Macaca mulatta: one gene and its partner. The protein of the gene in region 1 interacts with the protein of each later gene in a pairwise test. Links are inferred from orthologs where the notes say so. Each region holds a gene or a part of one and is shown in the gene's direction. Other genes may lie near its edges.

Region 1 (3,641 bases):
GCTCCATAGAAATTAATCGGAGCTATGCCACACTTCCCTTTATACTTTGCATTGCTGAGGCAGACTTAACTTTTTTTAGATTTAACATTCTTAACCACGGTTTTCAATAAATAAATGTTAAGTACCTAAAATGTACACGTGTTGTTCTAGGAGCTGGGTGTACAGTAGTGAACCAAAAGACAAAGTCCATGCCCTGCACAAAATAGGAATTACCTCCATTTAGAGGTGAGCCTTCAAGAGCTGAAGTGACTTGCTCTGGTCATAAAACTAGAGGGTGGCAAGCTCTGAAGGCAATTGCTGGGACTCCACGCCCCTCTAAGCATAACTCTGCTGTGTTCCTCTTGACCCTGATGACAGGTACCCGCAAGATGGAGTACAAGGGCAGCAGCTGGCATGAGACCTGCTTCATCTGCCACCGCTGCCAGCAGCCAATTGGAACCAAGAGTTTCATCCCCAAAGACAATCAGAATTTCTGTGTGCCCTGCTATGAGAAACAACATGCCATGCAGTGCGTTCAGTGCAAAAAGGTATTTCAGATTCCCCCTTGGCCCTTGCACATCCTGGCCGGTTTGCCTCCATGGTCCATGTCTGTCAGTTCTCTTTCCAAAAACAAGGATACCTGTGATACTGGAATGGCGTGGGAGCTGTGCCTGTCCTGCCTTACATGCCGAGCTTTATCCATTGGGTCTGGGCGCCCATCCTTCTTTCAAAAACATCAACGCTGTTGAGCTCCTGTGATCAAATCGCTTAACCCTGCCTTCTTCTAGACCATTCTAAATATATTCTTATGTCGATGACCTGATGTTAGAGGGAAGGGGAGCCACTATCCCAAAGCTGTCTTGTTCAGCTTCTCTCCATGAATAAACCAAGAAAACAACTGCAAACTTGAGAGGGAGAGAAAGATGGAAGGAAGAGGGGGAGAGGAAGGGAGGGAGCAGGGAGGAGAGAGAGACGGGATGTGAGAAGAAAAGTAAAGGAGAAAAGTCTGCCCCCGTGGATATGGGACAGATCATTTATCAAATGTATCTACTCTGGCCAGGCAAGGAGGCTCACGCCTGTAATCCCAGCACTGTGGGAGGCCAAGGCTAGTGGATCACCTGTGGGAGGCCAAGGCTGGTGGATTACCTTAGGTCAGGAGTTCAAGACCAGCCTGGGCAACATGGTGAAACTCCATCTCTACTAAAAATACACAGCTTAGCTGGGCATGGTGGTGCACCCCTGTAATCCCAGCTACTCGGGAGGCTGAGGCAGGAGAATTGCTTGAACCTGGGAGGTGGAGGTTGTAGAGAGCCAAGATCACACCACTGCACTCCAGCCTGGGTGACAGAGCAAGACTCCATCTCAAAAAATTAAAAAAATAAAAATAAATAAACTTAACTACTCGATCTGTTCCAGTCATGGCTCTGTTAGGGTTAAAGAAAGAAAGGGAACTGCCTATCTGTAGGAAGCCAACTCTCTGCCCAGTTGCCCCCCGACCTGTGCCCGTCAGGGTGGAGCTTGGTTTTCTGCTGTGCCCTCTGACTCTCACACACACGCAACTCTGATTATGCTGTAGCTTCCAGCGTCTCTGTGCTGTTAGGCTTTGCATCAGCCTGTTGAGTGGCACCCTCCCACGGCTCACTCGCCCTGGGCAATGCCAGCTGTGGAACTCATTGCAGGTTCTGTTTGCTCTCATCCTCTCATTGACCCTGCTTACCCAGCTTCTGCTGTGTTGCCCTTGGGGCCTCTACCCTTGCCTCTTGGCCATGGAGAAACATCCCAGTGCCTCTACCTGTACCTGGCTGGCCTGGGCAAGAATGTCCCCCTTGCCTGCACCTTTTCTAAGTGCTGAGTATTCTTACCAATTTCCATTCAGCCTTTCTCTCGTTTCCATTTTTTTTTTTTTTTTTTTTTTTTGAGACAGAATCTCACACTGTCACCCAGGCTGGAGTACGGTGGCACGATCTTGGCTCATTGCAGCTTCTGCCTCTCCAGTTCAAGCGATTTCTTTTGCCTCAGCCTTCCAAGTAGATGGGATTACAGGCAAACGTCACCATGCCTGGCCGACTTTTTTGTATTTTTAGAAAACACGGGGTTTCAACATGTGGGCCAGGCTGATCTCGGAACTCCTGACCTCAGGTGATCGATCTGCCTCCGCCTCCACTGCACCCAGCCCCTTTTGTTCTTTACTGTTATTTTAGATTTTATTTCTCTTAATTTCCTCTCCATTTATGCTTGTTTTTTTTTTTTTTTTTTTTTTTTTTTTTTTTTTTTGAGACAGTTTCACTCTGTCACCTGCGCTGTAGTACAGTGGCATGATCTCAACTCACTGCAACCTTTGCCTTCCGGGTTCAAGCGATTCTCCTGCCTCAGGCTCTTGAGTAGCTACTCAGGCTCCTGAGTAGCTGGGATTACAGGCAGGCGCCACCACCACACCCACCTAATTTTTGTGTGTGTGTGTGTGTGTGTTTTTTAGTAGAGATGGTGTCTCACCTTGTTGGCCAGACTGGTCACGAACTCCTGTTTTTTTCTTTATTCTTAGATTGAGGTCTCATTCTTGCTTTTATTTTAGGAACTCTCTTCCCTGTTCTCTCCCCATTTTATTTTCATTTTGGTTTGTTTTTCTCATCAAGACCTAACAGAAGTTCATCTGAATTGCTCTTCCTCTGTCATCTTTCCAGTGTGTGCTTTATTCATTTGCGGAAATGAAAGCAACACATCCTTCTGGGATGCATGCCTTTTGTGCACATGTTCGTTAAATACACACAAAAACCTTCACGCCAGAAGCATCCATTCCTCGACATGAACTTGGCCCTCTCAGGCACTGGGGATCCGATGCTGGACAAGATGCAGACACTTAACTGCAGTCTAGCTGGAAGTACACTCCAGTGTCAAACCCGTCAGTCGTTACTAAGCAGTGTGCTGTGGAGGAGAAAGGCAGAGTGTGGAATGGAGGGACCTCAACTCATCTGAGGAGTCGGGGGCCAGGGTGGCGTTTAGGGAGGGAGTCTCTGAGAAAATCATGCTATGCTGAGAGGCATCGAGTTAGCTGATGTGGGTGGGAAGCATGGAATCCGGAGTGAGGGAGGACTGAGGACATATGTTGCAGGCAGAGGAGACGTCTTACACACACAGGCTACTGATGCATACGGATGCGTTGCAACCAAGCGTGTTTTGTGTTCATTCTGTTGTGCGGTGGGGTGGGTTATAGGAAGATGCTTTATGATTCATGGTTTAATGAAAAGAATACAAGATAGAAGGGAGTCTGGAATTCTAGCTCCTGCTTTGTCATTAACCAGCTATGAATTCTTCAGCAAGTCACTTTTTAATTTCTCTGAGTCTCAGTTTACTCACCCATAAAATTAGTATCTTTCTTACTTCACAAGCTTTATGTAAAGACCAAAGGAATTACGGGATGATACTGAAATGTTCAAAAAATAAAAAGCAAAAAAGCGTGACTGTGAGGTGCTTGCACTCCATCTTCCATGGCCTTCGTTTGCCAAGCTGAGGCCACCTACACTCCTTTGATAGCTTACTCAGCTCCACCAAGCACGCATTTGTAAACAGAATGTGAGATGCAACATTTGGAGAAAAATACCAGGTAAAATTGAGGTACTGATGGCCGTTCCACCTTGTGTGGCTTTGCAGCTTCACCTCACAGA
Region 2 (4,232 bases), on another chromosome or scaffold:
TGGCTTAGAGAAGTCTATTCTGTGGTCTGTGGCCAAAAAATACAAACTCCAGTATGCCACCCTCTCAGTCCCTGTGGTGTCATGCTGTTCTGTTTCAGATGTATCATTTGAACTGTTAGTACCTGTGAATCAGTCAAGCATTTCCTAATGCTGAACAGAACAGGAAATAAAGACCTCTCTGGTAGCCTGTGACTTGCACCCCCAAAACCACCCTCATCTGCAGCTTGCTAAGATCACACCCCTGGGGCAAGGCATGCATTCATACACCGACTCTACCTGTGACACCTCTTCTACATGTGCAAATCATTTCACTAAGCCTGATACTTGCTTAGGGGTCAGAAGGAAAGCAAGAGGGAATATAATGCCCTGACTGCAGTCCCTAGTTTCCAGATTCCCCAGGGCCCACTTGTCCTCAGTTGGTGAAACTCAATACACAGACATCCCTCACCAATGCTTTCAGACTCCATTTCAAGTGCGGACTCTGCCCACACTGGTTCTAAGTGACCTACTTTGGCCTCACCTCTTTTCTCTCCACCCTGTCAAACAAGAAAGCGGTTACCTAGGAATATTCCAGAAGTCCGCTGAGTGGTTTTCTGAACATTCAGCTTCTTTACTCTTTCTGGACTCCAAGAAGGCAAGCCCCCTGTCTGATTCATCCTTGTACCTCTCCCATCACCTTTAGCATCGCGCTTGGTACACAGCGGGTGCTCGGTAATGTTTGTCGAATGGCCCAAGGAATAGTACGAAATCTGTGGAAGCAGAAATGGCTCCTCCATTTACCCGACCTTGAACCATTCCAGAAAAGACCAACCAAATCCGATTAATTCATTGGGCAGAACTCTGCCAGGTACTGGACATTCGGAAACAAATTTCAGGGGGTTGGGGTAGATGAACGGGAAGCTAATGGTGGGTGGATGTACTACAAATTCAATAATCCGCAGTTATACCTCCACTTTCTGTGAAACGTCTCTCCGTGGCCCCAGGGCCCTTTAAATGTTACTGTGAGTGTTTTCCTCCATAGTGTCTGGGGCAGAGCCAAACTTTTGTGTAGGGGTTTGGCAGCGCTCATCCTCACAGCCCTGGGGACGGCTGGCACAGGGGCTGGCGAGGCGTTCGCACGCGAAGGAAACTTGCGAGGCGTCAGGGCGGCCCCGCGGAGGAGCGGGTCGTAGAGTGGAAGCCCTCAACTCCTAGAACTTCAGGTCCTCCATGAGAATAAGGGGAAGGGGGATGGCCAAAGACGGCCAGACGTCCACCGAGCTTTCCCAGGCCAGGCCTCTCCCCTCCTCCAGCCGGGCCACAACGCGGGCTCCGCGGCCCGGGGCAACATAGCCAGGGTGTCTGGGCGGGAGGCAGGGCCCGGCGCGGAGGAAGGAGCCTGGGGCCGCCGCCGCCCCGCCCACCCCAGCGAGGCGGAGCCGGCGCCTGGAGGAGCAGGAGGAGGAGGAGGAGAGGTCGGAGCCGTCTCCAGGAGCCCTTAGAGACCGAGTCCCGGCGGCGACGGCGGGGCAGCGCACCAGCAGGCGGGTGAGTACCAAGCGGCGGGCGCGGGTGGTGAGTCGGGTCCCCGCGGGGTCCGGGCGCGGCGCGGGGCGTCGGCCAGCGAGTTCGGGGGCCGCCTCCGAGTCCCGGGTGCTGGGAAGCGAGATGGAGGGAGGGAGCAGAGGAAGGAAGGAAGGAGGGAAGAGTGTCCTGTAGGGCGGGGACTGGTCGGGGCGCTGGGCGCCGGAGACCGGGGAGAGGCGGAGGAAGGGGGCAAGGGACACCCAGACCCAGAGGCAGAAACCGCGCGGTCGCCCTCGACGGGCGGCAACCCGAGGTCGCGGGGAGCCGGTGCCCCCACGGCTGGGGCTGGGGCTAGGCTAGGGGTGGAAGGAAAGGTCTCCCCGCGAGCTCGCTTGCCTCCTCGCCAGCCTGCGGCCGTGCGCCCCGCGCCCGATTGGGAGGCCCCCAGTGTTCCCAGCCCTGGCTTGTGGTGGTGCCAGGCGTTGGAGGAGGGCTGGAATCTGGGGGCGACAGAGACGCCACGCCCCTCTGCCTGCTTTCTACCTCCCGGGACCAGCCGGCGGGAGCGCAGCGTTGGAATCCACTGGGCGCTGGGGGTCTAGCAGGGAAATAGCGGGTCGCAGAGGGGAGAGCCCATATGACGCACCCTGCGAGGGACCCCCGAGTGGGGTCCCTAGGTTGCCCTTCTGCAGACTATATTTGCAGGTGATAAGGGGGAGGTTGAGGCTCAGTCTTGCGTGATTTTTTCTTAAAAAAATTATTGCCCCGACAGTTATCCCGTGGGTCAGGGTGACTTCTGTTTTTCATTGTAATTAGGGCGTATCAATAAAAGCTAACTTTAAAACCCTGTCAGCGCCTGCCGTCACTCACTCGTCCCTCGCTTTGTGTGTACTGTAAACTTGGCTTAAATCATTCATAACTCACGGTAAGGAAGCCGTGATTCTTGTTCACGTCGCCGCGGTGGAGTGAAACTTTGCCCAGCTGGGGCTGAGTGGAGGCACTGCCGCGGCCGGTCATCTGGTGGTCATCCTGCCGGGCGTGGTTGTATACAAACAAGTGGGTAGAGAAGGAAATCTCTGAACGCCAGAGGTAGAAGGGAGGTTCCTGCGCCCACGTGTCAGGGCGCGTTTAATGGCTGCTCCCAGCGGAAACAAACGGGAATTTATTAGACCATGTGGAGTTGGACAAACTTCACATGATTAGCTTCCTTCCCATCAGTTACTTCCTCTCCCCCCCTGCTGTCTTTGCCGACACAGTTTATATTTCCTGGGGCGGTTGTAGCTTCGCCTGAATAGGCTGTCTATAATGAATCTTTTGGATGTCGTCAGAGGCAGGGTCTGCGTCTGTGCCTTCTCTATTTTAAAAGCGGAGTTTGGCTTTGTTTTTAAAAGTGCTAGTCACCAGACTGCACCCTTGCCAGCGCTTCTCAGCTCTCAAAGTAAATTATCGCAGGATGGCGGCCCTCACCTAGGAGAACCAGGAAGGCAGGCAGCGCTAGAACGACGGGATTGAATTTTACTATTGCCAAAACAATCACATTCAAGTAAGGAGCTGTTTTGTTTTGTTTTTGTTTTTTTTTTTAACCCAATTATATGTACTAGCAAGCCCCTTTTCTAGTAAACTAACATGATTCACACACACAATTTTTAAAGTAATCAAACATTTTACAGAGTCTTAAGTGATAAAAGGACTTTCAGATAAAATGTTCAGTCCCTTTGCCTTCTCTAATAGTTAACCAGCGCCGTAAAGCCCTGGTTTAAATCCAAAAAATGCTTAAAAGTCTACTGCGTCGTTAGACCTTATAAATAATGCAGTCCTATTTTTGCTGTATTTAACTCACGTAATTTACTAGATATCGAACACCCAACAGGGCACACAGCACTGAGATTTGTGTAGAAATATATGAAAATGTGAATCTGTGTTTCACAAGAGCCTGAAAAAAATAGTATTATAAAAATTTCCTGTCCAGAAAGCTCCAATCTTACTTGAAAGCTCTCTAACAATTAGATTTGTGGATTTGTGTTGTCACTTGTTAGAGAATATCGGTGGTTTATTAAAGTGTGAGAGCAAAGGGCTTCATGGTCAGAACACTCGAGGAAGTGGTTAGCCAATATCAGATTAGTTTTTTTTTTAATTGTTGAAAACTTCTGTCTAGCAGGAAAAAAAATCAAATTTAGAATTAAGTGATTTATTGTGTTTTGCTTTAATTTGGAGTTTTATGTCAGCTTAAGCTTAACCTAGAAAGGCAAGTTGTGAAAGTCAAGTAAATTTTTCTGAGCCCTAACTTGGAAGAGAAGCTTGTTTAACAGTGATTTGGGGTGTTGGCTTTGGAGTCAGACAGACTTAGATGAAAATATTAGCTATTTAACCTTTTCAGTCTGATTTATAAGATGGGGATAATAATGGTCTCTATCTGTAGGGCTTTAAAGTATGTGAAACAGTCTTTGGAAAACACTTAAACTGGACTTAACACACAGTACATGGTCAAAATTATTAGATATTAATCTAGCTTGTTCAAGCAGCAGGCTACTGGATAAATTGCAAGGTGGTAGCTTGAACCTTCCGAAAATGCTAGATAGAGCAATTTCAAATTCCACAGAAGTAACTGGTATGTGTGTGTGTGTGATGTTTCTACCACAACAATATGAATAATTATGATTAAAGGATTAATAGTTTTAATATGCTTTTAGTGCCAAAGTTACAGTTGCATAGTAATTTTGACAGAA

What was found.
Region 2: the proteins of FHL2 (region 1) and GNG12 interact in binary tests that used the Homo sapiens proteins (3 or more experiments, as listed by UniProt). The link is inferred for Macaca mulatta from reciprocal best matches to the Homo sapiens genes FHL2 and GNG12.

Annotation. Positions count from the first base shown.
Region 1 is NC_133418.1:13,468,979-13,472,619, reverse strand, and holds part of FHL2 (four and a half LIM domains protein 2), read left to right. Parts: intron 1-357; coding exon 358-527; intron 528-3,641. UniProt on the Homo sapiens protein: May function as a molecular transmitter linking various signaling pathways to transcriptional regulation. Negatively regulates the transcriptional repressor E4F1 and may function in cell growth.
Region 2 is NC_133406.1:172,775,910-172,780,141, forward strand, and holds the start of GNG12 (guanine nucleotide-binding protein G(I)/G(S)/G(O) subunit gamma-12), read left to right. Parts: upstream 1-1,412; 5' UTR 1,413-1,527; intron 1,528-2,590; exon of another isoform or gene 2,591-3,049; intron 3,050-4,232. UniProt on the Homo sapiens protein: Guanine nucleotide-binding proteins (G proteins) are involved as a modulator or transducer in various transmembrane signaling systems.